7 linked regions of the Oryctolagus cuniculus genome follow. The protein of the gene in region 1 purifies or fractionates together with the protein of each later gene. This does not show direct contact. Links are inferred from orthologs where the notes say so. Each region holds a gene or a part of one and is shown on either strand. Other genes may lie near its edges.

Region 1 (3,500 bases):
AGAGCAAGCTGCCTTCCCTGCTCTACAGGCTCCAGTTCCACGTGCGGACACAGCTGCCCACCTCATTCCAAGCCATTGGCTCTGTTCTGAAGAGAGAACTGGTCAGCTCCACCGAAAGCCTCTTCTTATAATCCTGTGGCTTGTCCTCAGACATTCGGAACAAAACCGCAGCGGCGTACGTGGCTGGGAAAGGACAGAAACAAAAGGTCCTTAAGGAACAGGTGAGACTTCACCATACACGACAGCCACCACAGCCCTGGTTCTTTTTCTACTCACCAACACCTTCATTCCTAGAGTGAAGCAATTCTGTCAAAGGCGCTGTGGCTCCCTCCGCTTCAATCGCTTCTGCAGCCTCCTTGTCCTGAGCAAGTTCACAGAGGACCCCTGCAGCTACTCTTTGGATATTTTCAATGGGAGAATAGAGCAGCTAAAGAGAAAACACAAAACCTAATGAAAACCCAGAGTTAAAACACAGGCTATAGTCCCAATGTTTTCCTTTCTACTGACCAAAAAAATGGGTGTGTGAGGGGGCAATTTTCATAAAATTAAATGTTAGTTCCCCTATCTTTCTGGTCCCTAATTTTCTGAAACACAATGAAATTTTAGACATGTAAAATCTAGAACACCTCATTTAAAAATCAACATACCTGCACAAATAGTGGAATGGTATTTAGTCCTCTGATTACAATTCGGTTATGAACATCCCGAGCTAGGATGTGAAGGGCTCCCGTACAACCTTCCACTATTTCTTCCATGCGGACTCCCTCCTACCAGAAGAAACATGGTTAACCAACAGGACAGTCTTCTCTTTAAAGTCTGTAAATGGTTCTGAGCAGCAATTACTAGACTACAGTTGCCCAAAGCTCCCCGTAATTTTTGGTTAGTGCAGGAATAAAGGAGGATTCCCATTCACCTGAATGTCACCAAAAGGAGGCTTCCTAGTGGCACTACTGGTAAGCAACACCCCTCTGTGATACGCAAAGTATAGTCGGCCTTGTATCCTTGGGTTCCAAATCCACATTCAATCAACTACAGACCAAAACTATTAAAAGGAAAAAAACCTGCATCTACGGTGAACTATTTAGACTTTATTGTTTAGGGAATTATAAAGAGAACAAAGTATAACAATGATTTATACTATACTGATAATATAAGGAATCTGGAGATGACTTCAAATATATAGGAGGACATGCATTACTTGAGCATCTGTGGGTTTTGGTATCCAGAGAGGGTCCTGGAACCAATCTCCTTCAGATACTAAGGGCTAACTGTACAATTCCCATGGACCTCTGAATCCCAAAGTAACTTTCTTACAAAAGGGCACTGATCATTTTGACTAAAAAGTATATAAACAGAGAAGATACGTGGATGGGAAGTGATGTTCAAACTATGTTTTTACGGCATGTGCCCCTTCTAGTCCTGTATGTTTACATGTATTTGGTGAACAAAGTTTCATCACAAGAAACCCTACTCTGCAGGCGATTCTCCTACGGCCATTCAACAGATAGCCTGGATGTGAAGAAGGATGTTAGCTTCTACAAATGAAGTACCATCTGCTTCCTGTTTGAGTGGTTTTTCTTTCCGTTATCATTCTAATACTTTTAGTGGCGTTTTAAAAATAGAAACTTGACTTTTCGTGAGGACACAAAATCTCTGAGATTCAAAAAACCAGACAAGATATTCTTTGGCATTCTATTAAGGCACTCTATGGAGATGGGCTAACACCAAAAGCAGTGAACAGAAAGCCAAAGCCGGAGTGCAAATGAGTGCACACGCACACAGACCTACTGGCAAAATGGGATTATCAAACTCTGTCCTGGTAAGGTCCATGTTTCTTATTTAAAGGAGCCTAATTAGAGAAAACTTTTAAAAGGTTTGAGTCTTTAAAAAAATGTCTAAAAGGTGAGAAGTGTCCTTGTTTAACTACATGTGTAGTATGTGTTTTAATAGTCAACATCACAGCTTTAGGCTAAAAATATTATGGATCAAGACTGCATAAATGCTACTACTTATTTTGAATTCAGTATTACAGTTTTAAGTTCATGAAAACAGTTGTTAAAACTCTCATGGAAGAGAGAGTAAAAAGGCCTGTCAAATACTTTGGTGCAAAACTCAGCTTATAGTGGGGGATAAGAAACTCTTCCATCAGAGAGACTTCTATTCACAGTATGACTCAACTAGTACACTTCCTTCCTGAAGAGGTGAGCCTGTGTTGGGTGAGTACCAGTACTTCCAAACTCAAAGGCTGATCATGCATAGCACATGCCTAAGCAGCATCAGTGAGGTCCACAGGATCTCTGCTCCCACACAACACTGTCAGGTTTTTTAGCCATTCACACTCCTCTCAAGAAGGGCACTGGCAGAGCCAATAAGCCATGTAGCTCAGGATCCTCTGGACTTAGCTGGCCCTTTCTACCAAGATTCACCTACCACAAACTGCTGCTGTGTTCCACCCATGGATGTGCGACGCTGGGTATCCTGATGTGCACGAACCAGCAACTGAACTAGGCGTGGAATGGCACCCTGCTCACGCAATGGTGCATGATTGGCTGGACAAAGGGCAAGATTTCGAATCAATCCAACAGTAGCCTGCAGGTAAGAAAAATACAACTCAACACAATCATTTTCTTACCCGAAGTTTCCCACCACACTAAATCTATACGCCAACACTTCAGAATCCTACCTGTCCCCAGCCACATTTATTACTAAGAAATGTAATTCCTATTTATCAACCCCTTGGCGTAGATATCCATCCTATAGTTAGAGGCAGGTCATTTCCAGTTCAGCAGCATTCTACCTTGTTGATGTTTTACCTTTATCAGAGGCCAGTGGGATGGCGGGTGCAGGAGCTTCACCACAACTGGCAGTCCATAGTGAAGGCGAACAGCATTCTGGGCCATCTCCGCTTCCTGGTGTCGGCTGGTCAGATGACGGAGAGCACAGATGGCAGGCTCCGTGATGTCCTCCCTGTCCCCAGCACGAAGGACGGTGCGCACAAGAGCCTCTATACCACCCACTTGGCACACCATCATCTTGTTCTTATAATTATTGCAAGTGAGGTTAGAAAGAATTCCGGCTGCACAGGTGACCACATTTATATCATCTGAACCCAGAAGCTGAACAAGAGTCCCAAGAAGCCCTTCCATCCCCTCCTGTGGAGATAAAAACAGAGGCTTGGTACACATTCCCTTTGATTTCATCACAAAAGCACAGTTTCCTTAGGATTTACCTGTTTAGTTGCAGCATCTGAAAGATTCCTAAGAGTCCAAAGACAGTTCTGAACGAGACGTTGACTAGGATCGGTCAGGTGAAGTCCTAAGGCTTGCATTCCTCCTGGACAATTACAAAGCAGATACGGCAGTGGCTAGTAGGCTCAACATCCCCATCAGTCCTAAACACCCTCTGTAGTCCCTCCCTGAGTGTTTATATCCGGTCCCTTTCTATTCCACTTTATTTCATTAGTGACATTCTGTCAAACAGCTACTGTTCCCTTCCTCTCT
Region 2 (3,500 bases), on another chromosome or scaffold:
TCCCAAGCACCTAGGGAAAGTGGACAAACTTCCTCCCACGGACAGAGGTCAGTCTCAAGGCTTCAGCTGGCCTGGGTGCTACTTTGAGACTCAGCAGCAAGGGAGAAGCTGGCCCTGTACCAGGGCCTCTGCAAAAGGGCCACAGCAGGGCCTGGCCATCCCGAGGTGCTCTGTTCTGCAGTCCAAGTCTCACCACAGAAGGCCCTGTTTCCTCTGCCCTACATGTGTGTTCCTGAGTGAGCACAGGCACTAATTCTTTGTGTGTCTCCTTCCTCCCACCCCACTGACGTACAGCTCTGCCTACCAGCACAGTTGCTGGCAGACAGAAGATTTGCACACACTTACAGCTGCCCAGGGGGTTCTGCATGTCCAGAGACATGTTGCTCAGAAAGTCACCGTGAACAATGTCCCGCCACTGGATGGTCTCCACATTGCACAGGACAGGGTTGTTGCTGAATCGCACAGCTCCATGAAGGATTTCTGCAAGGGGAGGAGATTCAGTGAGAAACGTCCCCTCAGGAACCACACGTGCCTTTCTTAGCATTTCACATTCTGTTGAAAAGATGTAGTGTGGGGGCTGGCACCACGGCGCACTAGGTTAACCCTCAGCCAGAGGCACTGGCATCCCATGTGGGTGCCGGTTCTAGTCCCAGCCGCTCCTCTTCCAGTCCAGCTCTCTGCTGTGGCCTGGGATAGCAGTGGAGGATGGCCCAAGTGCTTGGGCCCCTGCACCCACGTGGGAGACAGGGAAGAAGCTCCTGGCTCCTGGCTTCGGATTGGCGCAGCTCCAGCTGTTGCGGCCATTTGGGGAGTGAACCAACAGAAGGAAGACGTTTCTCTCTCTCTCTCTCTCTCTCTCTCTAACTCTGTCAAATAAGTAAAATCTTAAAAAAAAAAAAAAAAAAAAGAAAGAAAAGATATATTGTGGAACAGGAGTCCAGGGCTAATCCTATGAAACCTGGATGCAGAACAGGACTCATCTGAGGACAGTGCCATAGAGGAGAGAGGATGCCCTCAATGTGGCCTCCAATGGTCAAAAATTTAGTCACAGGGAAGGAGGAAGGAAGGAAGAGGCAGGCTCCATCAGTGGGCAGAGCACAGAGGAGTGAGCCATGTAGGGTGGTTCCTCGGGGGTTGAATGGGCTAGGCTGGAGTGAGCCATGGACAGATGGACAGGATGAGAAGGGCAGATGGCACCTGCAAGCCTTGAAAACTCAGATTCCCAGCACAGGTACCAGGCTTACCCAGCGCACTCTTAGTACCAGTGGAGTAAAGGGTATGAAGGTGGCATGTGTGAGGGCACCTGAGCCTTGAAGCAGTGGCTGGGAAGGCTCACGGTGGATTCACAGAATGGCAACCATGGGCTAAGAAGGCAAGGAGAGGCTGCTTCTGCTCTCTGCTTTGGAAGGGAGCAGACCCAGCCCTGTGCTCCCACTACGTCCCTGCAAGTTCAGACCCAACTCCTCCACTCTGTGCCTTGGCTTTCATCGCATCCCTGTCCTGGGGGGCAGCAGGAAGGGTGGGAGTCTGGGGCAGAGATTCGCAGAGTGCAGCCCTCGAGTAACTCCCCTGCTTCTCTCTGTGAGACGGCGGACTGCAGTGCCTACCAGAGGGAAGGATATGCGCAGTTCGCATGGCTGCTGCATGCAGAGTGACATTTATCACCAGCTTTAAAACCCGTCATCGTGCACAGAGGCATCTCACAGTGGCCTTGCAAGTATCAGACTGAAACCTCTGCTGCCTACCCTGAACTTCAGCCTGAATTCCTAGGGCAGCGCTGCTTAAGACCCAGTGTGCAGTGGCCTCGAACATGCACGCGTCCCTCCTATTTGCAGTCACAGTTACCTGTGCTCAACAAGACACTGGGAGGGAGGAGGGGAGTGCCTGGTCCTGCGGGCACACACAGCTCGTTACTGTGTATCGCTACCACTGGTACCCTTCTATTGTATCACTGGTGTTGCTAATGGCTTACTGTGCCTAGTTTACACCTGTTGTCTGGCGTGTGGCTAGCACTACTACATGTGTGACTTGATGAGTGCAAGTCTTCTCTGAGGTGGCACTAAGGAAGGTGACCGGCTCAGAGACCCCCTGCCTTTGCGACCTCCCACGGCACCTGCTCACCCTGCAAGTTCCGCATGGGCAGCTCCCTCAGCCCGGTCTTGTTGGCTCCGTAGTTGGACAGAACGGCTAAGGCGTAGGTGTTCTCATACAGCACGTTTCCTCGGATGATTTGCAGGCTCTCCAAAGGGATGCTCTCCACGGTGTTGAGGGCAATGAGCACGTAGCCAGCCACCTCCTGGATGGTCTGAGAGGACAAAACATGAGCACGGTGCTTCTCTTCTGAGGAGCTCAGGAATTCAGGGTCTAAAAGGAGTCCTGAAGCCCAGGGCACCTGACTGAATTAAGACGCACAGGAGTGGCCGTCAGGTGTAAGACAAGTAGGGGATTAGAATCTGGGAAAGGGGGGGAAGGGCCTGGAGCATCTGCGAAGCCTTAATCCACAGTGGTGTGTGTAGCCAAGCAACACTACAGCTCTCGCTCTGCACTCGACAGAGTTGGCACATTTACAACTGCCTTTTACATCCTTCTCACATGATGCCTCATTTACAGGACGCCCAGAGCAGAATGGGGTCAAGCAAGTTCAGCACAGCTTCACTGCCACCAACATTGATGGAACGATCACTCAGAGTGTGTCTCACCTGAGACAAAGAATTCTCTGAAGCCTTCTGTGTGGGAAGGGGGTTCATCCCAGCTCCTTGGAGCCTATGGAAGTTTCGTGAATGGCTGTAAAGCTCATGGGAGCTCAAAATGGAGCCATGGTGGGAACATTTACCCCAAGGCAACAGGCACACGAGACAGAACAGGACCACTTTCTCTGAGAGCCACAGCACCAGTACCCCAGGCAGAAGCAACACTCAGGGCTCTTGTCAGTGTACAGCATGCTAGAGCCATAATCTCCTGTCCCAGCTGTGATGCCACTGAGGCTGCCTTCTTTTTGATGCCACTCTCACTTTCAATACCCCAGAGTGAATGTAAACTTCAAGTTAAATTCAGCCAAGCTGTACATCCCTCACCTGTCCTGCCATGGCATTTGTGTGGGAAACAAAGCCACACAACCAACCTTTAAGAAGGAGAGGTCGTGGTTCCTCTGCACGTAGGTGATCTCCAGGTTCCCCAGCACCACCTCACAGCTGTTGAACATCCTCTGCAGGCTCAGGAAGTGGTCCTCAAAAGGGCCGAGCTGGGTCAGCTTGTTGCTTGTGCCCTGGCAAACTAGGGAGGGAGAGAGACCATATACGACATTGAGTGGAAGGGCAAAACCCAGGCAAAGCTATGTTTGCACACATGGGGACCTTCAGTGACTTTCAACATCAACTCTGATCAAGGACACTAAGAGTGAGTACCATGAAGGGTGCTTAAGTTAACAGAAAATGCAACGCAGAATAAGAATAAGCAGGAGGCAGTTTATTCTTAAATTCACAGCACAAAGAAATGTTACA
Region 3 (3,971 bases), about 6.6 Mb from region 1:
GACACGTCTACAACTTGTTCCACTGAGAAGGTAACAAAAAATTCTGCTTCCCAAATTTCAGATGCAGTTTAAAAACGATACTTTACTTCTTACCATCCCAAATACTAATCTGAGAACACATTTGCAGGGAAAGAGAGAGACAGGGATTTAAAACATTGGAAGGATGCTATTGCTAGATGCAGTTATTTAGGTAAAAAAGCTGCTTAACTTCACCCTACAGGTCTGCAAAGCCTTAGGCGACAGATGCCAACTGAGGACACTTGTTTACGTCTCCTTAAACCGAGAAAGGCTCACAATGTCCACATTACACATACATGTGGTTTCAGGCCACCGCCCAGGTGAACATTTAGCTAGAAAAGGTACTGTACCTGAAAAGAGTCCAGAGTTGTCTATCGGGCCGGGAAACAGGTTATGCTCACCCACATTATACATATCCCAGCTGTCGAAGCCCACATACTTCTTCCACTGCTTGAACCACCGACTGTCAATGAGATACCTAGAGAGACAAAAATTTGAAGAAGCAGAAAAGCTAGGGTTGTAAGTTTTTGCAGCTGCTTTCTTATACCTTTTTTTATTTTTTAAGTTTTATTTTATTCATTTGAAAGGCAGAGTGATAGAGAGGGTGGCTCACTCACCAAATGGCTTCTATATTTGGGGCTAGTCAGGCCACAGCTAGGAGTCTGGCACTCTAGCCAAGTCTCCCAAGTACTAGGACCATCTTCTGCTGCTACCCCAAGTACATTAGCAGGGAGCTAGATCAGAAGCGAAGCAGCTAAGACTCAAACCAGTACTCTCATATGGAATGCTGGCACTGCAGGCGGCAGATGAACCCACTGTGCCACAATGCTGGCCCCTCCCTTAATATTTTTTTATAGCCTTAAACATAGGGAACAAGTAATTCCCACTAAAAAAAAAAAAAATGGTACCAAAGGGCCTGGCCCTGGGCAAGCATCCATTAAGTGAAACAACTCTTAAAAACAGAATAAATAAAACGGAGGAAAAAATCAGCTTCAAAATGGTTATGTAAATGGAGTCTTTCTATGCATAAAATCACGCCTGCTATTAAACAAGTTATTAATTTGACAGTGATCTTGATAAAGGCCTGTGTCCAGGCAGGCAGTCTGGTTATTCTGCTTTGCTCAACATGAACAGCATTAAACTAGTTTCTTTCTTTCTATAAGTGGAATACTACCACTCCAGTTTCCCTTTGAGGATCATGTTAGATATCCCTAAATGTACAGCGCATGTGTGTACCCAGCCACACACACTTATACCAGTGTCTAGGTCAGGTCACCTTGTCAAAAAGCATTAAGTTGTGTTTGACACTCAATACTTTTTATGCTTAATTACTACAAGCCAATCTCATCCTATTTTAAGCACATCACTAGGCTGCTTTAAATTCAGACAGGAGGGAGAAAACCCCGGGGGACAGCGAAGTACCACAACTATACTGGTGAGGCCAGCGCTGAGGCACAGCAGGCTACGCTGCCACTTGTGACGCTGGCATCCCACACGACAGCACCAATTCCAGCCCGGCTACTCTGCTCACCTTCCTAGGAAGGCAGCAGCAGATGGCCCAGGTGCTGGGTCCCTGCCACACTTGTCAGAGCCCCCAGTGGAGTTCCGCACTCCTACCTTCAGCCTGGAGCAGTCCCAGAGGATGCAACCATCTGGGGAATGATGAACGGAAGCCATCTCTCCCTATCTATCTCTCCCTCTGTCACTCCACAGGTCACACAATGTTATTTTTTTTTAAAACCCCTATCAGAACTCCTCCTGTTTCCAATGTTTCCCCTTCTCTGCTGGTCTGATAAAGACAGACAGCGCTCAGTGATACACAAGGCAAAGCCTAGTGTTTTACTCCCACAAGTAACACCACCTAGGACTCACTCTCCTGGTGGACAGTATGAGGGTGCATCAAACAAGCAATTCATGAAAAAATGAAATCTGAAAACAATGCAACGTTTCTTTGAGCTCTACGAAGTCCCCTGGTCTAATCCCCGCCTATCTCAGCCTGGCTCTTCTAAACCTTGCACTTTTCATTCTGTGGAGCTCCGGGATCTGGGCCACCCTCCTCTCCCGCCTGGAGGCTCTGCTGCCACAGTTATTTTTTACATTTGATACCAAAATAATCTGGGGTTCCAGGCATTTGATTAACGTCTGCCCTTGAAATCTTCTTGGCAGTTTACAAGTTACAAAGTACCTACTTCTGATCTTCGCCTCAACCCACTGAGCCGGTGGGTTTCAACAGTAAGGCATTAGGGTCTGCGAGGGCTGGACACCTCGGCCCAAGGTCACAAGGTGAGAACTTGGTGGCAAGGGCTCGCACCACACCCCTGAGGAGCATTCCCCTTCTCTTAAACCCTGCAGCGCGGATAGCCGCCGGACCCGCCCCCTGGGACTCCGAACCGGCCGGGACCACCTCCAGTCCCACCTGCGTTTTCCCCGAGTTGACCCTGGGGTTTCACTCCCCAAGGGCGGGTGTCAGGACACTCTTTGAGGGTCATCGGACACCGCCCCCGCCCGACTCCTATCCAAGTCGAGAAAAGGGAGCCTGCCCTTAAGATCAGCGCCCCGGCCCCCAGTTCTACGCCGGGGAAGGGAGGGGCCGCTGCTCACCACTGCGCCCCCCTTTGGAGCGTGGTCCTCATGAGGGCCCCGAGCTCGGACTTCTGGGTCTCCGCATCCGGTCTCTCACGGCAACCTCCGCCTTCCGCCATCTCGTCCGCGGCCCCGGCCCAGCCGGCCCGGACATCCGCCCCACGCACGCCGCGCTATGGGCCGCGCCCACGCACGCACGCACGCACGCACGCCCGTGTGCGCGCGTCAGCCCCACCTTGCGCCGCGCCCTCGCCCAGGTTCTCCCCGCCCCCACGCACCCCTCCCACGCATGCGCAGTGGAGCGGGGGTGGGGTGGGGTCAACCGAGGCTGCCACTTCCTCCTGCGCTACCTGCCACACCTATCACGAGCTGCCCGCCTGGTGCCCGTCAGGCACGCCTTCCTCTGCTCAGAGTGGCGCCCGCTTGGCCTCCGAGGCGCTGTCCAGCCCGATGACCTGAAGGAACACCCCACGACCTCTCGGGCACCCCATCCTAGCCTAAGGCGTTATCTTTTTCCTAAACAAAGGCAGGCCCGGTTCAAGAAACCCTGGAACTAAGTTTTCTCGTTCTCACTCGCACCATTTCCGCTTTCAGCTGGGGACCTCAGCGGCCCAAACCTGTGTTCCTGCCCCGAGATCCCTCCGGGGGGCTTGGGAGCGCCAGGTGCACCGACTCCTCGGGACCGACCGTGCGTGCACTGTGCCCTCATTGGACGGCGGAATCTCTTGGCCGGTGGCCAGGGCCCCGCAGCGCTGTGCGCTGGGCCACTGGGCCTTGTCGGCGAGGCCAGCAGCCACGGAGGGGCGATAGCAGCTGGGGAAGAAGGGAGCTCCAGATGCGGTCTCCTGGTTAGGTGCGCCGGCATCTGTTCCAAACACTCGATCCCGCGCACAGAAAAACACCGTCTTCCCGGAGGGAGAAGTGAACCCAGAGCAAGGAGGCCAGGCACTGGCCGTTCGCTTGCCCAGCAGTTCCTGCCCTCGTAGAATCTAGTGAACAGACCGTCCGCACATCGCTCCAGTGTTTGGCAAATGCCATTACGGGGTGTGAACCCCAGGCTGTAGGAGTGCCAGGCGCAAGCCCAGCCTTGACTTTCAGCAGGATGAGTGGGATCTTGAAGGAAGTGTTGGAAGCAGAGAGCTGCACCCGCATGTTACAGGAGGGCAGGCTGAGAACTTCTGGAACAGCAGGACAGTATCAGAGTGGGCGTGGGCAGGCTAAGCTGGTCCTGCATTTCTAAGGAAGGCTGGGGGAGCCCCACGCCCCACCTGTTGGAGGAGGTGTGCAGCAGAGGGAATGGCCGAGGGGCTTCGCACCCGCACCGGCAGTGGTGCACCCCGGGAGGCCCTCGGGGACCTCTGGGGAGGGTG
Region 4 (3,500 bases), on another chromosome or scaffold:
GCTTAGCCTACTAAGCTACAATGTGGGCTACCCTTCCCTCCAAAAATAAATCATTTTTTAAACACTCTTCTCTAGTAGCTTTATTCTTACAATGTCAGAGTAAATTTCAGACTAAAATCTCAAAATTCTACAATCAAAATCAATCTGCCTAGAAGAATGCTGAAGTGATGAACAGTGAAGCTCATCACTAATTGCCATGATTCTTCAAATATTCTTAATTAGATCATTTAACAACCGTACATCAGAGGATAATGAACGTTTAACAGAAAACTGAGGTGTAGAACAGGAAAGACTGATGAAAATATACACATGAGACAGAATCAATGTTTCCTTTGCAGAAATTCATGTTATCTTTCAAGGTCTGAAGTGTACATCTCAGGGCCAGTGCTGTGGAGCAGTGGGGTAAGCCTCCGCCTGAAACAGCAACATCCCATATGAGCACTGGTGTGAATTCCAGCTGCTCCACTTCAAGCTGGCTCCCTGTCAATGCACCTGGGAAAGAGTTTGTGCCCCTGTGGCCTACATGGGAGACCCGGATGAAGCTCCTGACTTTCGCCTGGCACAGCCCTGGCTGCTGTGGCCATTTGGGTAATAAACCAGGGATTGGAGATCAATCAATCAGTCTCTCTGTGTCACTCCCTAAAACTCTGCCTTTCAAATAAAAAAATTTTCTTAAACTGCACATCTCCTTTAACCAGAAATTCATTTTAATCCTTTACTAGTCACATAACTGAACAAAGTTATATATGTGTAAGAATGTCTTTTAAAGCATTATTTGTAATAGTGAAAGGGAAGGAAGGAGGAGGAAGGAAAAATCAAAGGGGAGGAAGTGGGAGGGAACCAAGGAAGAAAAGAGGCAGCGGACAAAGAGAGAGAGGAAAACCCCACAGTCTTGGAGCAAAAACAACAAAATAGCTCCCATAGTGAAGAAGCAAAAAAATAGAAAGTCCTACATCCACAATAAAGTATAAAATATACTCAATAAATGTCTGCTGACTGATTCTCTACTTTATGTAGAAAAAATTCATGATATCAGCTCTGATGACCAAAGAGCTTGCCATAAAACCCTCCAGACATGAGGTTATGAGGTTTCTTTTTTTTTTTTTTGGACAGGCAGAGTGGACAGTGAGAGAGAGAGAGACAGAGAGAAAGGTCTTCCTTTGCCGTTGGTTCACCCTCGCAGCCGGTTTGCTGTGACCAGCGCGCTGCACTGATCCAAAGGCAGGAGCCAGGTGCTTCTCCTGGTCTCTCATGGGGTGCAGAGGCCAAGCACCTGGGCCATCCTCCACTGCACTCCCTGGCCACAGCAGAGAGCTGGCCTGGAAGAGGGGCAACTGGGACAGAATCCGGCGCCCCGACCGGGACTAGAACCCGGTGTGCCGGCGCCGCAAGACGGAGGATAATTAGCCTAGTGAGCTGCGGCGCCGGCCCAAGACATGAGGTTTCAACAACAACAACAACAACAAAAAAAAACTGGGTCACTCTAATTTACAAATGGTATGTGGAGAGGCTTGCGCTCTGATTCAGATTTTATCAACTTCTTGAATGACTGACAGCCACGTTCAGGAATGCAAGGACAAATATGACCACTTGGAAATCTGTATTATTATTGTTCTTTCGAAGAGTGAAAACTACAAACTTCCTTCTAATAAAAAATGTTAAGCAATTCCATAACCAATCACAGACTAACCACAGACATGGCACTCTAAGAAATGAGTAACCTCTATTACCTTTCCCGTGCTCTGTAAAATCGTTGTTCGTGTCCTCCACACTCTCTCCCTGCTGACAATATCTCGAGTCACATCTACCTCGGCGTCTACAAAACTCCTCTGTTTGAGGGCAGTGATGTCATCATCTAGATCAGTTTTGATAGTAGATCTTTTCTTAGCCATAATTTTGGCTTTGATTGCAGCAATTTTTTCCACTGACATGGCTTCAGATAAAGACCTAAAATCAAATTCCTTTTTAAATTTTCAAAGCAAGAATTCCTTGAGCACATCACAAATACATTGTTACAATTTTCTAGTAAAAACACTTTAAGTAACAACAATTAAAGCCTTCTTTCTATAAAAATGACATATTTTGTACTCTTACAAGATTTTAACACATAAAGAAGGTTCATGCAGATATACTACTGTGAGTAAATTAATAAATTCCAGAAGAAACAATGCAACAAATGTCTTTATATTTATCATTTCCCTCCAAAAGAGCAGTAACTCATTAACATGAGTGTTTTCTTTGTATTTTTTGAGACTTTGTTAGTTAACCCACATCTATTCACAGAAAATAAACATACATATCGAGGCCAGTTGTTAAGAGGGTCCCAGAAGAGGAGTATGAAATTCATTATATAAAGACTTCAAAATTATAGGTTTTCTTGAAATTTATTTCAAGGTTTCAAAACCGTATGTCACAGGGTACAACATATACATAGGTGACAAAGGCTTTTATATACCACAGAAACACATACCCCTTTTAAACTCTGGAAGAAACCATAGTTTGAACACTTTATCTTCCCTGCATCTGATTTTCAAATAGCCAAAACAGCAAAGAGAGACAGGCTATATTTTCAGAACTATGTATAAAAAGCGACTTAATACTTAAAGTACAGATTTTGTAAGATGAATCTTAAGCAAAGTGTCTTTTTATATAATAAGATAAAAAGAATTAAAAAGTGTTTGAGTACCTTATTAAGAGTAGACAAAAATATTACTTTAGCCACAAGATGAAAATCTTGAAATATGTTTACACAAAATCTGGAAAAAGGACAGAAATTCCTGCAGGTTTAAATACAGCAGTATTATAAAGTAAACTAATTTTATTCAGATTAGGTATGAAGATACTTTATAGCAGATGATCAATATGGGTATGGTGGTATCTGACTCATTTTGTGTGACACTGTGCAACATTCCCCTAAAATCTAAAGCACCTAGAGTCAAGTTCAAATGCTCTTCTAAACTATAATCAAGCCTGCACTGGACTTGGTATCACTGGACTTTATTTCCAGCCACACTAAAACAGAGTGACAGGATTAACCTTCCTGTCTTAAATTACCAGTGAAAATGACAAGACACCAGGTTTAAAGGATATTAGATTATCAAACAGTGTAGAACAGTGATTTCCTGACAAATGAGAAACCAACAAGGTGAGCCCTTGGTGGCTTCCGAGATAGGGCATTAAGAAGAGAGCCCACAAAGACCTCAGAGAACTCCCGATTTGAGGGAATGCAGCTGGGGCGACAGCAAGACCAAGGTGGCGAGAATTCACAGGACAAAACACATGAGAAGAGAGCTACACAGATTCCTTGGAGTATTCCAGTAGAATACCAATTAGTACATGAAGATAACGAAATCATTTAAAGCTGGGTAAAGAATCAATCATCCAATGGAATTAAAGAGAACAATGCCCAGTGCTTACACAGAGTGAAGAACAGTACCTGTTCCCACCATCCAGATTAAAAGCCTCATATTCTCAGGGCATTAGAAAGCATATTATTCCCC
Region 5 (3,500 bases), on another chromosome or scaffold:
GGCCGTGCAGCCATCTTGGGGGGTGAACCAGCAAATGGAAGATCGATTCTCTGTCTGTGTCTTTCTCTCTCTCTCTGTCTCTCCCTATCTGTAACTCTGCTTTTCAAACAAATAAAGCTTTTAAAAAAGAAAAAAACTGTTGCTATTATTACAGATTATTTTAAGCTTGGAACATTCCAGAAACAATACAATTTCTTGTATTTGTATTTGCTTTCAAGTAGGGCAAAACCAGTACTGGAGATATTGGTATCCCTTCTCAGGCCTGCCTGCCTGCCTGACACTACACAAAGCTATCTACTTTATGCAGGAAAACAGAATATAACTGGCCCTGCTCAGATACGCACTGACAGTAAGACAAAACATAAAGAATATAAGTTGCAAAACAGTACCCAGACTCAAGAAAGGCCAATGTAAAGAGAATCAAAGGGGGAGGGGGAATCTCAAAGGTCACACTAAGGCATTCACTCAAAACAGTGGCTCAATTTCTTTATGGCTCTATCCCAGCACCTAAGTTAGTGTCTGCAGTAGAGCCAGTACTCAAATACTTGTTTTTAAATGTCTGTCGGGCTCTACAGGAACACCAAGGACGCAGAGACAATGATACTGTTCCTTTCTTTAATTAAGGAACACACTCTAAGTTAGGGATTGAGGAGGGAGTCCAGAAAAAAATAAATGTTTACCTCTTGCTAGGGGAACACCAAGGAGAATGACTAACTCTGCCCAGGGGTATCAGGGAGGACTTCAGGGAAGAGGCAATAACGGTGATGAGCCCTGAAGGATGAGCAGAGTTTATCAAGAAAAGAAAGAATACTGCAGGTAGAGGGGTCAGCAAAAACATGGAGTTAAGATAAGCGGCAGCAATGTCCAGGGAACAGCAAGTAGAAAATTTTTTAGATCGAAGTTGATCAGGAATAAAATCACTAGAAGTCATGGTACATTTTGACACTGTGGAATACTACACTCTGTAATATGTAAGTTCCATACTAAGCCATACACCTTCAAATGTCAATCTCTAAAACCAGCGATTGGTAGCAGACAGCAAAGACTAAAGCTGAGTTTACATTAAAGAATATTGAGTACTAGGCACATAAAGTACAAGAAACTCAAGACACAAGGGTAAACAAGCCAGGCAGGGCCCTTGTCCTACAGAGCTACAGTCCGGGAGGAATCGGGATTACCACCCTTATTTGCATGATGGGTGTTCTGGGCATCTTACAGCAGAGGGCCCAACCTGTTCACAGAGGACTGTTCACAAACGTGATGCTTAAGAGTGGAGACTGATTCTCAGAGGCTAAAGCAGTGGGCAAATGCAAAAAGAAGAAGGGAGCTGCAGCACAGAAGTCTGGGAAATAGCTTAATACGATTTCCACACAAAGCTCCAAAATACAGGAGAGAGAGAAGTTCAAATCTCAAGGCTATATTAAAGAAGTCAGTTCTCTGCAAAATAAGGCTCCTGTATATTTCTTAGGGACTATGCAATCATCTGTTTATCTCTAGGTGGTTACCTTTTAATCAGATGTTAATCAAGCTCCAACCAGATGTAATCTATAGACCACACAACCTGGGAACCACCATCACTCCAAAGGATTTTCTGCTTTAATTCCACAAATAAAGTGGTCTGAATTTACAAGCACAGGACTTACTCAAATTTGGAGATAGGGAATCTGATAAAAGCAAAGATGACTGACTGTTCAACATTATATAAATGAAATAGGAAGGAGGGAGAACTACCCTTCCCAACGTAAGAGTAGATAGAATTTGTAAATGGGCCAGGAGGGGAAGAGCAAAAGTGGGGAGAGCATCCCATATACGACTAACTGGAATAAAGGGAGCAACTGCAGTGCCTGAGGAAGAAGAAGGGGGAAAGACGGGATAAATGGAAAAGGAAAAAAGTTTCACATTCTTGGCCTATGGCTTTAAAGATGAGGTTAGAGCAATTTTAAAAACCCTTGAAAAAGGGCAACCCACCCGCCCCCGTGTGCCCCCGGAAGTGCTGGGTCCGGGCTCCAGAACTCCACTCCCAGCACGCCACAGTGTTGTCAAAGGAGCCTGTCACAAGCTTCTGCTCGTCAAACTTCACTGCTGCACAAGTGTGGGTCTGGATGCCATAAACACATTGCCCTGTGCTCACATCCCACAGCTTTGCAGACAAGTCATCTGACCCTTCAAGAGAAAAACAGGGAGGTTAATAAGAAAAGGCATATTAAAAAGACAAAGTCAATCTTCAAACCAAAGTATTCTTAAAAGAGAACATTAATGGTCACCTTTTCCAGCACTTTGACTTTATGGCTGAGAAAACCAAAGAACGAAGAGTCCCAGTTGCATGACTTGCTAAGTCATGAAAACAGTGTCAAATGCACTGAATGCACTGTGGGGGCTGGCATGGTGGTGTAGCGGGTAAAGCTGCTGCCTGCAGTGCCGGCATCCCATATGGGTGCCGGTTTGAGTCCTGGCTGCTCCTCTTCCGATCCAGCTCTCTGCTATGGCCTGGGAGGGCAGCGGAAGATGGCCCAACTGTTTGGGCCTATGCACCAGCGTGGGAGACCTGGAAGAAGCTCCTGGCTTCTGGCTTCACATTGGCCCAGCTCCAGCCTGGCTACTGCAGCCATCTGGGGAGTGAGTCAGCAGATGAAAAACTTCTCTCTCTCTCCCTGCCTCTGCCTCTCTGTAACTCTGCCTTCCAAATAAATTAATTAATTAAAAAAAATCAAGACTTGGGGGCTGGCGCTGTGGCGCAGTGGGTTAAAACCCTGGCCTGACGCGCCGGCATCCCATATGGGCACCGGTTCTAGTCCCGGCTGCTCCTCTTCCAATCTAGCTCTCTGCTATGGCCTGGGAAAGCAGTAGAAGATGGCTCAAGTCCTTGGGCCCCTGCACCCACATGGGAGACCTGGAAGAAGCTTCTGGCTCCTGGCTTCGGATCGGCGCAGCTCCAGCCGTTGCGGTCATCTGGGGAGTGAACCATCGGATGGAAGACCTCTCCCTCTCTGTCTATACCTCTCTCTATAACTCTGTCTTTCAAATAAATAAAATAAATCTTTAAAAAAAAAAAGGAACAAAGATATAAAGATTTTCAGCCACATGTGCACTGTTAGAGGTAACATAAAAAAAAAATCAAGACTTGGTTTTAATTAAGTTTAAAATCCTAATAACTAACTCATGTCTCACAATTTACCTTTAATAAAACTCAATAAAGAAAAAGACATCGGTACTATAATAAAAACATAGTACCCTAGGAAAGCACTAAATCATCAGTTTTCTAAAAGCTGAAAAGACTTCACAAAGTCAGCCACAATTCCACCTTTCATAAAGGGCCATTGTTTCAGAAAATGAAAAATAGTTACCACTTATGAAAGAGCTTGAACACTGAAATGATGAATGTATTTGTCACCCTGCTATTTTGTAAGACTTGGCTGGTGATTCTCAATGGACAGGAGAGATCAGAACCATGAGGGTTCTTTTATCAAAACACACAAACAGGGCTCTAAGAGAATTCTAAT
Region 6 (2,251 bases), on another chromosome or scaffold:
GAGAGAGACACATTCTCAAGTGAATCCTGGCTTCTTGGAAGCGCTTGCCTAGACGAGACACAGTGCATAAAAACAACTTTTGGGGGACAGGTATGTTTTTCTTGCAGCTGCGGTTGTAAGGTCTTGGCAAGACAAGCAGTGTGGCCTGAATTTTGAACTTCCGATGAGTGTGTAATGCAAAGGACCTTGTACATTTTTGTTTAAAGGTCCTCAAAATGAGCACATGAAGAGGTTGCTGTGAAACTTAAAAGTGGCCCTACTGCGCAGAAGCATTCAGATGTCACTTGATGATCTGTAAGGGGACGTGCTGAATTGGGAATGTGCTAGGGAACACACGTTCCTTTCGACAAGCTTTATCACTGGGTGGGCGATGGCTTGTACAGCTGATGTGTGCTTTTTTTTTTTTCCTCTTTTTTTTTTTTTTTTTTTTAAACTTGAATGGTATTCCTACAGGGAAAGGATAACCATTTTAACTGTATTTTTTGCAGCCCGTACCTTCTTGGGAATACAATTGTCTAACTTTTTATTTTTGGTCTGGCTGTTGTGGTGTGCAAAACTCCATACATTGCTATTTTGCCACACTGCAACACCTTACAGATGTGGAAGATGTGAAATTTGTCATCAATTATGACTACCCTAACTCCTCAGAGGATTATATTCATCGAATTGGAAGAACTGCTCGCAGTACCAAAACGGGCACAGCATACACTTTCTTTACACCTAATAACATAAAGCAAGTGAGCGACCTTATCTCTGTGCTTCGGGAAGCTAATCAAGCAATTAACCCCAAGTTGCTTCAGCTGGTCGAAGACAGAGGGGCAGGTAAGACTCGCCTTGAATTAGGTGGTTTCAGGTCACATCGTCTACAAATCCATTCAGGTGGGATTAGAGGGGGAATAAAATCTTGAATGTGAAACTTAATTTGAGAAATTGAAAAATACTTCCCACCCATGATTATGACTAGAATTACCTACTTTCTATATATTAGCAATAAATTGTGCCGCAGACATTAATAAGTTTGCAACATTTTTTTTTTTTTTGACAGGTCGTTCCAGGGGTAGAGGAGGCATGAAGGATGACCGTCGGGACAGATACTCTGCGGGCAAAAGGGGTGGATTTAATACCTTTAGAGACAGGGAAAATTATGACAGAGGTTACTCTAGTCTGCTTAAGAGAGATTTTGGGGCAAAAACTCAAAATGGTGTTTACAGTGCTGCAAGTTACACCAATGGGAGCTTTGGAAGTAATTTTGTGTCTGCTGGTTTACAGACCAGTTTTAGGACTGGTAATCCAACAGGGACTTACCAGAATGGGTATGATAGCACTCAGCAATATGGAAGTAATGTTCCAAATATGCACAATGGTATGAACCAACAGGCATATGCATATCCTGCTACTGCAGCTGCACCTATGATTGGTTATCCAATGCCAACAGGATATTCTCAATAAGACTTTAGAAGTATATGTAAATGTCTGTTTTTCATAATTGCTCTTTATATTGTGTGTTACCAGACAAGATAGTTATTTAAGAAACATGGGAAATGCAGAAATGACTGCAGTGCAGCAGTAATTATGGTGCACTTTTTCGCTATTTAAGTTGGATATTTCTCTACATTCCTGAAACAATTTTTAGGTTTTTTTTGTACTAGAAAATGCAGGCAGTGTTTTCACAAAAGTAACTGTACAGTGATTTGAAATACAATAAATGAAGGCAATGCATGGCCTTCCAATAAAAATATTTGAAGACTGAATTGGAAATTGTACTTTATTTTCCATATATAATGTCATGTAAAACTTTGCTTAGATGGTCTTTTTTATTTAAGTGACTAGTTTTCAATTTGGGAGGTTGTAGGGGAGGGGGGCAATAAGTAAGGCCCTTTGTGTAGTGATCTGGTCATATTGGAAGAATTAAAATGAGACTGATCTGGGTAAACATAGTTATAGGCTAAATTGCATAAGTTTTTGTTGGCAACTCCCAACATCAATGGGGTCATTTAATAATAGCCTATTTTCCTTACTTGTTAGAATGACTACATGAGATAGTAGATTGAGTATAGTAAGAACAACATGGATGACTGTTCGTTCCTTTTGCAAATTTATAATTTAAAAATTTCCAGTAATTTGCCTTTTCAGAAGATGATATTCTCTTCACTATATTCTAAACTACTGAAATGTTGAACAAAGCTGGAAAGCCCTTTAAGGGACTTGGCCAAGAGCTGCATTTGAGTCTGATGCTATTTGCACCACGTTC
Region 7 (2,318 bases), on another chromosome or scaffold:
TGTGATTGTCTGAAGTTATGACTCTAGTGGGAAGAGTTTGCAGCATTCAGGTGAATATTGTTTTGATTATTTTTTCAGACTCTTTAGTCCACAGATGGAAGATTATAGTCACTCCTCCATGGTTATGGGACAGAGGCCCTGTTTTTTTCCAATTTAGGGAAAAATTAAAATGTATTAAATAGTTTGAAATTAATGTGCTTCTCTACAATTTTTTTTCAGTTTATGTTTCTGAGAACACATTAAGTTTCGCCCAAGGCTGCGCATGGCCCAGAAAACTCTAATAAAAGAATTTCTCATTTTAGATTCAGTTAGAAAGTAAATTAAAACAAATGAAAAAAAATTTTTTGTTTTCTGAAGATGACTGAGAGAATTATTTGGAAATCACAGATTTTATCTGTAATTTCCAAAACACACCCAAACAAAACGCATTTGAATCAATTTTAAGAAGATGCTCTAATTTATTAAGTAGGCATTTAAAGAATGAAAACATTTTTCAGATGTCAAGATTAAATGTGTTTATTTTGAGTTAGTGGATACAACGGTATGTTAGATACCAGCACTCCAAGCTACACCTATGTATTTGCCTCTAAACCTTCAAACATGGTCAGTTTCCATTCTGCTAACACTCCACCATTGGGCTTTCTATTTCTAGCAAAATCATAGTTTAAATTAAAAAAGAAAAACACAAGATTGATCACCATATTGTGCTTCCAGTGCCCCCAGAATGATTTTAATTATCTCAAACAAATGTTTATTGTTTTCAGTAAAGGGGAAAAATTATAACATGAGCACTAGTAATGGCACTACTGGAAAAGAACAGAATGCAGATTAAAAGAAGCACTTTATTCTGGACTAGTTAGTTTCCTCTCCGATAAAAATCCACTTAATATCATGGATATGACTTCAAGGATAAATTGTTCAATTTGTGGGCCACACATTTAAGCGTATTGGCTAGTACATTTTTGCACTGAAACAGAAGCAATACAAGTTTTATGTTCTACCATTACACTTCCAGATTTTTCACTTATGAATATACCTGCCAACCTAATGATTCTTGCATGCATTAGAGTTTGCTCTTTTAGTTAAGTTTATTTTCCCCCTCCCTCCCGCTCCCATGAACACTGTGATGGGAACTCTTTGCCCAGCTTTATGAGAATTTGCAAAGGACAGCTCTGTGCTACCTCGGGACAGGAATCCCCTGTCCCCTCCCAGGGCTACAGATGGATCAGCAGTATTGATCCCATCTCATCTTACATGCAAACAGATACTGCTCCCTTAATTTCCCCATGCCAGAGGCATACGAGTCGGCAGGTATGCATACAAAAATGGAATTCAAAAGAAAAGAAGAAAAGAAAAAAAGAAAAAACTCTCTTGCGAAACCCTATCGTCCTAGAAGGAATCCATTGCTTTGAATTCACTTAAAGCCTGTACAGGCGAAATGTGTTTCTTCTGAGAACCTCTTCTAACTCGGGTCTGGAATTCTTCAGGCTTTTCTCTCTTGACAAGTGGCTTCTTCTCTGGAGCCTTCATCTTCCAAGACACAACAGGTGAGTTGACAGCAGCTGTCCCATAGACCTTCTGGTATTTGGTTGAGGCCACATAGGATGCTTTCACCGTGAGGACAACAGCATTCATCAGGTTTTTAGCTGCCTGGATAAGTGATGTAGCACTGTCCAGCTAGAGTGGGAGAAGAATAAAATACACCTGGGTTAACTGAGTCCCCAAATGCACAACATGTTGGTACAATTTCACAAGTCAAACACTGTTTTGCTTGGACAAGTATACAGTATTACCAAAAAGGAGCAAGTTAGCACAAGATAAGATACATAGGCTACAGATCAGTCACTTGTCCTCTCCTATGTTTAATCCCAAAGAAAAAAGAAAAAAAAAAGATTGGTCTATGATTCATAGCTTTCTAAAATCTCAATACCACTAAACCCTTTTTAACATGTGTGATTCCTAGACAAAAATTTGCTAAAGTGAAATATCTCAATATTATTATATTAGCCTAATTAGCAAAAATGTTTGAAAAGCCTTTAGCAGGTACTAAAGAATCAAATGCTATAAAGAGTTATATTCGGACTTCTCTGGCTCTAATGGTGAACATGCCTTTCTATCATAGACCATTTCCTATCCTAGACACAGAATTAGTGAAGATAAAAGCCGTTAAGCATAGATACGACCCATGGGTATTCTGTTTCTTACTTAGGTTATGGAGTTCTGAGTATCCATTTAATTATTTCCACATAATGAATATCATTCTTATATAAATACCAGTAATTGTGTCAGGGTCTAATAAATTGGGGAACAGTCACTGA

The links.
Region 2: the proteins of CTNNB1 (region 1) and EGFR purify together in Homo sapiens (affinity purification with western blotting; 4 studies listed by BioGRID and IntAct, with this or other methods). This does not show direct contact. The link is inferred for Oryctolagus cuniculus from reciprocal best matches to the Homo sapiens genes CTNNB1 and EGFR.
Region 3: the proteins of CTNNB1 (region 1) and USP4 purify together in Homo sapiens (affinity purification with western blotting; 3 studies listed by BioGRID). This does not show direct contact. The link is inferred for Oryctolagus cuniculus from reciprocal best matches to the Homo sapiens genes CTNNB1 and USP4.
Region 4: the proteins of CTNNB1 (region 1) and CDC73 purify together in Homo sapiens (affinity purification with western blotting; 3 studies listed by BioGRID and IntAct, with this or other methods). This does not show direct contact. The link is inferred for Oryctolagus cuniculus from reciprocal best matches to the Homo sapiens genes CTNNB1 and CDC73.
Region 5: the proteins of CTNNB1 (region 1) and FBXW2 purify together in Homo sapiens (affinity purification with western blotting; 4 studies listed by BioGRID). This does not show direct contact. The link is inferred for Oryctolagus cuniculus from reciprocal best matches to the Homo sapiens genes CTNNB1 and FBXW2.
Region 6: the proteins of CTNNB1 (region 1) and DDX5 purify together in Homo sapiens (affinity purification with mass spectrometry; 3 studies listed by BioGRID, with this or other methods). This does not show direct contact. The link is inferred for Oryctolagus cuniculus from reciprocal best matches to the Homo sapiens genes CTNNB1 and DDX5.
Region 7: the proteins of CTNNB1 (region 1) and CTNNA2 purify together in Homo sapiens (co-immunoprecipitation; 5 studies listed by BioGRID and IntAct, with this or other methods). This does not show direct contact. The link is inferred for Oryctolagus cuniculus from reciprocal best matches to the Homo sapiens genes CTNNB1 and CTNNA2.

What each region holds. Positions count from the first base shown.
Region 1 is NC_091441.1:106,476,750-106,480,249, forward strand, and holds part of CTNNB1 (catenin beta-1), read right to left. Parts: intron 3,334-3,500; coding exon 3,230-3,333; intron 3,153-3,229; coding exon 2,814-3,152; intron 2,590-2,813; coding exon 2,431-2,589; intron 768-2,430; coding exon 648-767; intron 428-647; coding exon 277-427; intron 184-276; coding exon 62-183; intron 1-61. UniProt on the Homo sapiens protein: Key downstream component of the canonical Wnt signaling pathway.
Region 2 is NC_091447.1:57,841,134-57,844,633, reverse strand, and holds part of EGFR (epidermal growth factor receptor), read right to left. Parts: intron 3,274-3,500; coding exon 3,122-3,273; intron 2,306-3,121; coding exon 2,122-2,305; intron 481-2,121; coding exon 346-480; intron 1-345. UniProt on the Homo sapiens protein: Receptor tyrosine kinase binding ligands of the EGF family and activating several signaling cascades to convert extracellular cues into appropriate cellular responses.
Region 3 is NC_091441.1:99,898,335-99,902,305, reverse strand, and holds the start of USP4 (ubiquitin carboxyl-terminal hydrolase 4), read right to left. Parts: upstream 2,801-3,971; 5' UTR 2,721-2,800; coding exon 2,620-2,720; intron 497-2,619; coding exon 369-496; intron 1-368.
Region 4 is NC_091444.1:9,863,496-9,866,995, reverse strand, and holds part of CDC73 (parafibromin), read right to left. Parts: intron 1,948-3,500; coding exon 1,731-1,947; intron 1-1,730.
Region 5 is NC_091432.1:224,702,512-224,706,011, forward strand, and holds part of FBXW2 (F-box/WD repeat-containing protein 2), read right to left. Parts: intron 2,164-3,500; coding exon 1,969-2,163; intron 1-1,968. UniProt on the Homo sapiens protein: Substrate-recognition component of the SCF (SKP1-CUL1-F-box protein)-type E3 ubiquitin ligase complex.
Region 6 is NC_091448.1:14,232,431-14,234,681, forward strand, and holds the end of DDX5 (probable ATP-dependent RNA helicase DDX5), read left to right. Parts: intron 1-597; coding exon 598-822; intron 823-1,045; coding exon 1,046-1,449; 3' UTR 1,450-1,751; downstream 1,752-2,251. UniProt on the Homo sapiens protein: Involved in the alternative regulation of pre-mRNA splicing; its RNA helicase activity is necessary for increasing tau exon 10 inclusion and occurs in a RBM4-dependent manner. Binds to the tau pre-mRNA in the stem-loop region downstream of exon 10.
Region 7 is NC_091433.1:122,032,543-122,034,860, forward strand, and holds the end of CTNNA2 (catenin alpha-2), read right to left. Parts: intron 1,678-2,318; coding exon 1,390-1,677; 3' UTR 501-1,389; downstream 1-500. UniProt on the Homo sapiens protein: May function as a linker between cadherin adhesion receptors and the cytoskeleton to regulate cell-cell adhesion and differentiation in the nervous system. Required for proper regulation of cortical neuronal migration and neurite growth.